Linked DNA regions of Xenopus tropicalis. The protein of the gene in region 2 purifies or fractionates together with the protein of the main gene of each other region. This does not show direct contact. Links are inferred from orthologs where the notes say so. Each region holds a gene or a part of one and is shown on either strand. Other genes may lie near its edges.

Region 1 (4,070 bases), on a different chromosome or scaffold from region 2:
ATGAATTGTGTAGATATACAGGTATCTTCATAGACTGCATTAGGCTGCTGGTACAGTTTCAAGTCATTCACATTGACAGCAATGCTTTTCAGGAAAGTGTCACAGACTGTCAGCATGGAGTAAATGCCTGTGGAATTGCTAACTGTGGTGTCAGCACACTACAAAGTGTTGATTTGTAAAACTCTGTCAATGGATTATATATGAGAGTGCAAGCAATAGAGTAGCTCACAATTATAGGAATTAAAACAGATTAAAATAGATGTGTTTTTTTCTATATATGCTATTCCTCCAGTTTGTGACTCCATTAAAGGCAAAATAAATAGAAGGCAAGAAGTGAAATGTAATAAAAAAAAATGTATACCTTTGCACAAACAAATTTTCTTTGTGTGAATTTAATATAGCTTTTATGAACTCAAAAACTGCTCAGTGACCACTTCCACCAGTGAAGAAAGACTGCAAATATTGTCATTTGTAGTAGAGTCCTGCAGCAAGTCAGTATTAATGGTTATCCACAAAAAAAAGCAGTATTCTGCAGGTTGGATTTTCAGACACAGGGACAGGTTACTATTCTAGATTGCGTATCTTATATTATCTTTTATCTATTATGTTTTACTCTAAACATGTTTTACCCCTTCCCATTCTGATGATGTTGCTTCTGGTTTGCAGCAACAGCACTTTGGATTGGGTTGTGGATAAGGCAGTTGCAGGTCGGATTGAATGGCAGGTCCAAGAAGGTTAAAATGTGGGTTTGGGTTGCAGGTCCAGGTCTCAAAACTTGGTTCTGTGCAGGACTCTAGTTTGCACCAGTGCGCAATGTATACAATAAGACTCCTTACTGAAAAAGTTATTTTTGCTCCAAAAGATTACACCACCTTTAGGCATGCCTTTAAAGTGTGCTATGCACAATTAAGGTTTGCAATGCGATAACGGTCTAATGAAGACTATTACATTGTGAAACGTGAGTTTTTATTTTTATTTGTTCCTCAAACACTGCTAAGAAACAAAACATATTTACTTGAATCAAGTCTCTTTACTTCATTGAAACTAATATCAGTCTGATACTATGCTCCTCCCTGCTCAATAAAGGCCTTGCATTGTGTGCAGATTTGCTTCAGTGCATATTGAAATTAGATTTACATGTTAAGTAGAATGGTCAAAGTGCAAAATGAACTTGAATGACATCCACTGTGTGACTGGGGCTGTTTCCTGCTTGATTTACCAGAAAACTAAAAGCAGCAGAAAGTGGATGCTACAAGCAGCAAGTCTGACATCACTTTGAAGGATCTCCTGAAACATAGTTTTTAACTGTGCACCATCATGAATTGTTCACAGGTAGTTTGCTGTCAAAGGTACAATGGTTTGAACTTCTAATAGAATGAAGTGAAAAATATTTTTATTGTCACACAGACCTTGTTTACTTTGTATATACAATAATAAATAACTTTAGCTAGGAATATTTTCTTTTTCAAGAGAGAAGCCAATCAAATATTGCAACATTAATTTTGTTCTCCAAGAGTTATCCACCGTCTACTTCTCTTCAAAATCTAAAGGACATATACTGTGCAACTGGAATTAGACTCGCCAGAGATCATTCTTGACAAGGCATTCTGGATATTTAGAAAAGTTACAAATTAAAAACACGTCATCAAAACATATTTTTGGTGGTTCTCATCCCTCTTAGTTTTACAAATTAACAGATCTGAAATTTGTAGGTTAATAGTTGCTATTAAGGTGGCTATACACGTAGCAATAACGATCTTACGTGCAGGAAAGATCGTTCCCACCCTCCACTGATGTTCAGTGCTGAATTGTCAGATATGGAGGTAGAAACAATAGAAATTCTACCTCCTCCTGCCCTAAATGTAGATTTTGCTTGGGCACCTTCAGTGGCATGATAAATATACCCCTTGGTGTACTCCAGTCTTTAGAGGTTCTCATTTTAAACATTCCCATCAGTGGCGGTGTACATATTTACCATGGTTTATCTAAGAAATACTGCTATATGTAGACTGCACCTGTACAGTTTGTATGGCTGCCATAACTTTGCAGGTAAAAATTATAATTCATAGCAATGTGTTAAGTAAGAAAGACTGAAACAGTATGGGTAAGGCCATTCTTAAAGAAAATATCATCCATATATTTTTTAAAAAGTGTTCTTGCACAATGACAGAAAATGCAATTGCAGGCAAATTTCCAACATATATCAAGTTTTTTTTTTATGTAATTACAATTGAAAGCAGTATTTCTTTAATCCTCTTTTGTTCTCTGATTATACATTTATAACTCTGTAGCCGTCATTTCTTCTCCAGGGGGTATATTTATCATGCTGTGTAAAAAGTGGAGTAAAGGATTACCAGTGATGTTGCCCAGGGCAACCAATCAGCAATTAGATTTCAACTATTATAAAACCAAAGCATCTGACTGGCTGCTATGAGCAACATCACTGGTAATGGTTTACTCCACTTTTTACACAGCATGATAAATATACCCCTAGGTCTATTATAATCAGCTCACTTTTGCTACTCAGTGAGAATTGTTAATAAATGGACAAGAAAAAGTTGTTTAGAATGACATTTTCATACATTATGCACAAAACAATGTTTGGTTGGAGGACCCAGTGAATGTGGGGCGCCCAGCCTACACTTTATCCTATTGCTAACCCATGTGCACCAAGTAACCCCAACAATCGCTTATTTCACGATAGCAGCATTGCCAACAATATAGAGAACAAGCACACGCCACTACATTACCAGCTCCGGATAACTTCGCATGTCATTCGGGATTTAGGTATAGAAACACGCAGTGGATGAGCTTCACGTCATCAGCCGAGCGACACATAAAATTTCCAGATCAACCAATCAAGATGCAGCGCTTTAGAGGCTGCCCCGTAGCTGCCTGCATCACCATGGAAACGAACCGGCGTCCAAGGTATGGGATAGGGTTCAGGAAGTTCGTGGGTGCTTGTAAGAGCAGTTGGCAATGACTGTGACAAAAAGTACAATTTACAACCATCAAAACAAAGACTGCAAAAAATATTAAAACAAATACACGTTAGTGGCTTTGGCGCATTTTTATGACGTCAGAAAAAGCGCGATTTGTTCGAAAGAACAAGGTGGGAGATGGAATGTTTATGTTTCTGATGACGGCTGGTAAGGCAGACAGAGGAAGAAGCGGTGGTAATATGTTTTGCGTTCCCAAAGATGTCAACAAACCCCGTGATAATGATATTGGATATGTCAAAAACCTTAATTCCTCTTAACTAGGAATAGTAACTTGAGAGAACCTGTTCAGTCTAACTTAAGCCTGATTTAATCTCTCTAGCATGGCTGCCTGTTAAGCAAAGGATAGCTTACAAAATCCTTCTGCTAACATTCAAAGCCCTTCACTCCTCTGCTCCTCACTACATTTCTTCACTGGTCTCCCTGCATATTCCTGGTCATCTCCTCCGCTCCTCTCAGAGCCTCTGTCTTTTTACACCATCCACACCCACTGCGCTCTCTCGTCTTAAACCTTTCTATCTCGCTGCTCCTTACCTCTGGAACTCTATCCCTGAATCCCTCCATAGGAAACACTCACTCTCTTTAAGATAAAACTATCTTCTGGAGCACTAAAACATGATTTTGCCTAGTTCTGCGCTTAAGGGCAAATGCCCATACCTGGTGCACTCTTACCTTCCAATTTGTGCCTGTATGTTACCCAACCACTTAGATTGTAAGCTCTACGGGGCAGGGACCTCCTTCCTACTGTGTCTATTGTATTTATTTTAACACTTGTCCTCCCTGTGTGTAATTTTGTATATTATAAGATTATACAGCGCTACATATCATTGTAGAGCTTTATAAAAAAAGTTATACATACATACCTTGAAGTAAGGTGTCAAAATGCCAGTGGGTAGGATGGTGCAGGATTAACAAATTAGTCTTGGGCTCTTTTGTTTGTTTCCTTCCGGGGCACATTGGGCTTGGAGTTTGTATGTTCTCTCCTTGCTTACATGGGTTTCTTCCCACATTCCAAACACCTTCAGACAGGGTAACTGGGTCCTGGCAACATTGCTGGTGCGTTTGTAAATG
Region 2 (4,109 bases):
CCCCCCTCCCTCAAGAATGCTAAGAACTCACTCCCCCCCCCCCCTTAGGAATGAGGATATGAGCCAATCAGCAGGAAGCTGACTCATAGGGGCACATTTACTAATCCACGAACGTCCGAATGCGTTTTTTTCGTAATGATCATTTTTTTTTCAACTTTTTCGTCGCTGTTGCGGGTTTTTTTTGTATTTTGCGCGACTTTTTCGTCGCTGTTACGACTTTATCGTATATTTTCCGCGACTTTTTAGTCACCAAAATTCGGATTGGTTTTTCCGCCATTTACAATTGCAACAGCAATGAAAAAGTCGCAACATTTTTGTTTCCAATCCGATTTTTTTCCCATTCAGATTCGAGGATTAGTAAATGTGCCCCATAGTCTTACTAACTGAGCATGTTCACTTTGTCTGCATGTCTGTGCAGGAGTGAGGCATTATGGGAACTTTCTTTACACAGCTCAGCGTTTTTTCTTCCTGTTTGGCTTCTGATCATCTGAACAGGTGAAATATGGGGAGACTTAAGGGCACTATTGAGACAACTGAAGGTATGCCTGCTGCTTGAGATTAACTCTTTACTAGCCTTTCCTTCTCCTTTAACTAAAGATGTAGGATAGAAATGTTGTAAATTATGTTTTGAGGTTTTGTACCAGCCCAAGCCAACCACAGCCATTTAGCATTGAAGATCTGTGCCCCAAAACATGCTTCCAGTAGCTTCCTATCTTCTTTTTTGCCGATTCACTGCACATGCTCTGTGCTGCTGTCAGTTACTGAGTTTAGCAACTGTCTCACAATATACTGTAAATATAGAATATAAATGTCACACTATAACGTTCAGTAGTAATTACCACAGAAGATTATTGCATGGCAGCTCTGAAGCCAGTGCTATTAGTACTAGCCCATTAGGATCAGCTTATATGACAAACATCATTTTCTTAGCTTGATAATTTCTGATGACACCCAAGCTTAGTTTCTCAACAGATGTTTAGAGCACCCTGAGCATGTGAGTGTCGCAGACACTCTGACAGACGTGTCCAGTATGGTCACCCCCTGTGGAAATTTTAAAGGACTGTATTATTACTATTATAGAAATGTTGAACCTTTAGGCTGGTTAATAAGTTTGTTATAAAAAATATGGCATGTCTGACCATGTTCATTTTTAGGGTTTAATTCTCCTTTAAACATGGAAGCAGCAAACTAACACCTGTTTAATAACAAAAATGTGTATTTGTGATCATGAGATTTTCTGTTAATTCTTGAGGTATGTTACATGAGACCTGAATCTTTTGTCTCTTTTTTTTTTTTTTTTTTAATTTAAGAACATGAGTGGAGGACTAGCGCCTAGTAAAAGCACAGTGTATGTGTCAAATCTTCCCTTTTCGCTAACCAATAATGACTTACACCGGGTAAGTGTTTGTTGTTCCTCTGCTCCTGAAGAATTCTTCATTCATTTTATATTGACTCATGGTTAAATGACCATAACTGATTAAAGGAACAGTAACACCAAAAAATTCAAGTGTATAAAAGAAATTCCAATATAATGTACTGCTGCCCTGCACTGGTACAACTGGGGTGTTTGCCTCAGAAACACTACTATGGTTTATATAATGAATGCAGCTGTGTAGCCATGGGGGCAGCCATTCAAAGGAGAAAAGGCACAGGCACTTAGTAGATAACAGATAAAACACTATTGTATTCTACAGAGCTTATCCATTATCTGCTATGTAACCTGTGCCTTTTCTCCTTTTTTCCAGCTTGAATGGCTGCCCCCATGGCTACATAGCAGCTTATTATATATAAACTATAGTAGAGTTACTGTAGCAAACACACAACTTTAACCAGTGCAGGGCAACAGTACATTATATTTCATTTACTTTAAAACTCTTTAATTTTTTGGTGTTACTGTTCCTTTAAATGTAGCCCAGGGATGCCAGTCTGAAACCATTTTCAGCAAACTAGTTAATGAGTAATATTCCACATTAGTGATCTTACTGTTTTGATTTTTAAGTGTATTGTACAATAAGCATTGTTTACCATGCTGGTCTAATTGTGGGTTTTATGCGTTTCTAGATTTTTTCAAAGTATGGAAAAGTAGTCAAGTAAGTGAAGTTTGACCCTTTTTACTATTATTACCACATACTTTGCACTCTATGTCTACTACTGATGCTGTAGTTGGTAAATTAGTTTTTAAAGAAATGAGAAAAATATAATTCTAGTTAAAAGCAGATTGATTCTTTTAAAATTTTAATTTGGAAATTAGGGTTAAGATTCATTTCAGTATGTTGATTGTTTGGTGTAGTTTGAGACTGGCACTACCGTTGAACCTTGCGTTAGAGTTCAGTAGTGCAAGATAATGCTTTGCAGTGCCCAGTAATAGTGTGACAGAACCAGGCCTCTTTGCGAACTTATTCCTCCTCAAAATACACTACTAGAGGAATACTGAGGAATGATTTATTTTATAATGTGGATAAAATGAACATAACTTGTGTACCTCTCACTCTGTAAATTTCTATCCTTGTTTTTATAATAAGGGTCACAATACTGAAGGACAAAGATTCTCGGAGGAGCAAAGGGGTAGCATTTGTTTTATTTCTAGATAAGGAATCTTCACAGAACTGTGTTAGAGGCTTAAACAATAAACAAGTACGTTACACAAACTCTGAATTTGTTTTATCTATTTTACTAATTGGCTACAATTAAAATGTGTAACTTGTACCTTTTTCATTTAGTTGTTTGGTAGAGCAATTAAAGCAAGCATTGCTATAGACAATGGCAGAGCAACAGAATTCATCCGGAGGCGAAATTACACTGATAAATCCAGATGTTATGAGTGTGGGGTGAGTTAAGAAAATACTCTGGATTTTAGGGACAAATTCTATGCCATTAACCATTTATCTGCCTGCTGTTTCACCAGATTAATGGTGCTTAGTGAAGTGTTACTGGGCAAAACTTTTTCTTGTAGTAAAACGTTTTAAACCTGGAACTGTATGTATGTGCTATTATTATTTATATAGCGCCATCAATTCACGCAGCGCTTTGCAGAATAAAGGGGTACAAAAGACAAAACGGTTAACATGTACATATAGACAATTCACAAAAAATAGCTTACAGTTACAGTTGGATAAGGATTGGAAACACTGGGGAGAGGGCCCTGCTCACAAGAGCTTACATTCTAAAAGGGAGTGTGGCTGAGACATAAAGTCAAGGTAACTAGCATGGCGTTAGAGTTCGTGTTGGTGTGTAAAGTGACAGTAAGTGCAGAGTGAAAACCAGTGGTTAGTGAGTGTATGACGGAAGATTAGGGGTGCTCAGTGGGTAATTGCATTTCTGAGGATTTAGGTTATAGGCTTGAATGAAAAGGTGCTATGTCATTGGTAGGCTGTTGCTTTGCTTGCTAGGCTGTACGTGCTATGTAGTCAGCAAGCAATGGGTCACATGGAAATTCTTGGAGCATCAGACAAATATTAACATAATTTTAGGCATCCTCAAGTGAATATAATTTAATTTTCAAAAAAATTCTCTGCTGCAGTGTTTGGCATTAGGGATGCTGAGAAAAGGTATACAAAGCACCAGTGCAACACTTTCCCTGGGCCAGTGGAGTTTTTTTTTTTTTTTTTTTTTTAAGGGCACTGGCCTAGCAGTTACATAGTGTTGAAAAAAGACCAGAGTCCATCAAGTTCAACCCTTCCAAGTAAACCCAGCACACACAACCTATACTTACCAATCTATACACTCACATATATATCAGGTCAGTGATTTATTTCAGCATACCATCTACGCGTTTCGATCACCACAGGATCGTCATCAGGATGATATATACAACCACTACCGTAATACTGACTGTAGATATTAGTATCACAATAGCCTTGGATATTCTGCTTGTTCAAGAACTTATCCAGGCCCCTCTTAAAGGAATTAACAGAATCTGCCATTACCAGATCAATAGGAAGGGCATTCCACAACCTCAATTCATTCAATGGAGGGTGCCTAACATTTTTTACGGCCCAGTGGAATAGGGTTTTCATGTGCTTTAAACAGTTTTAACATGACAGTGCTTAGTGACATGCTATAATGAATGTTGACCATGTTTAAAATATGATGGTGCTAGAGATTACAAT

Evidence for each region. Proteins that work in one complex are often made in the same cells at the same time.
Region 1: the proteins of zcrb1 (region 2) and larp7 purify together in Homo sapiens (affinity purification with mass spectrometry; 3 studies listed by BioGRID and IntAct, counting the BioPlex papers as one, with this or other methods). This does not show direct contact. The link is inferred for Xenopus tropicalis from reciprocal best matches to the Homo sapiens genes ZCRB1 and LARP7.

Annotation. Positions count from the first base shown.
Region 1 is NC_030677.2:68,967,742-68,971,811, reverse strand, and holds the start of larp7 (la-related protein 7), read right to left. Parts: upstream 2,801-4,070; 5' UTR 2,751-2,800; intron 1-2,750. UniProt on the Homo sapiens protein: RNA-binding protein that specifically binds distinct small nuclear RNA (snRNAs) and regulates their processing and function.
Region 2 is NC_030679.2:64,850,738-64,854,846, forward strand, and holds the start of zcrb1 (zinc finger CCHC-type and RNA-binding motif-containing protein 1), read left to right. Parts: upstream 1-1,309; 5' UTR 1,310-1,313; coding exon 1,314-1,397; intron 1,398-2,061; coding exon 2,062-2,090; intron 2,091-2,522; coding exon 2,523-2,634; intron 2,635-2,720; coding exon 2,721-2,828; intron 2,829-4,109.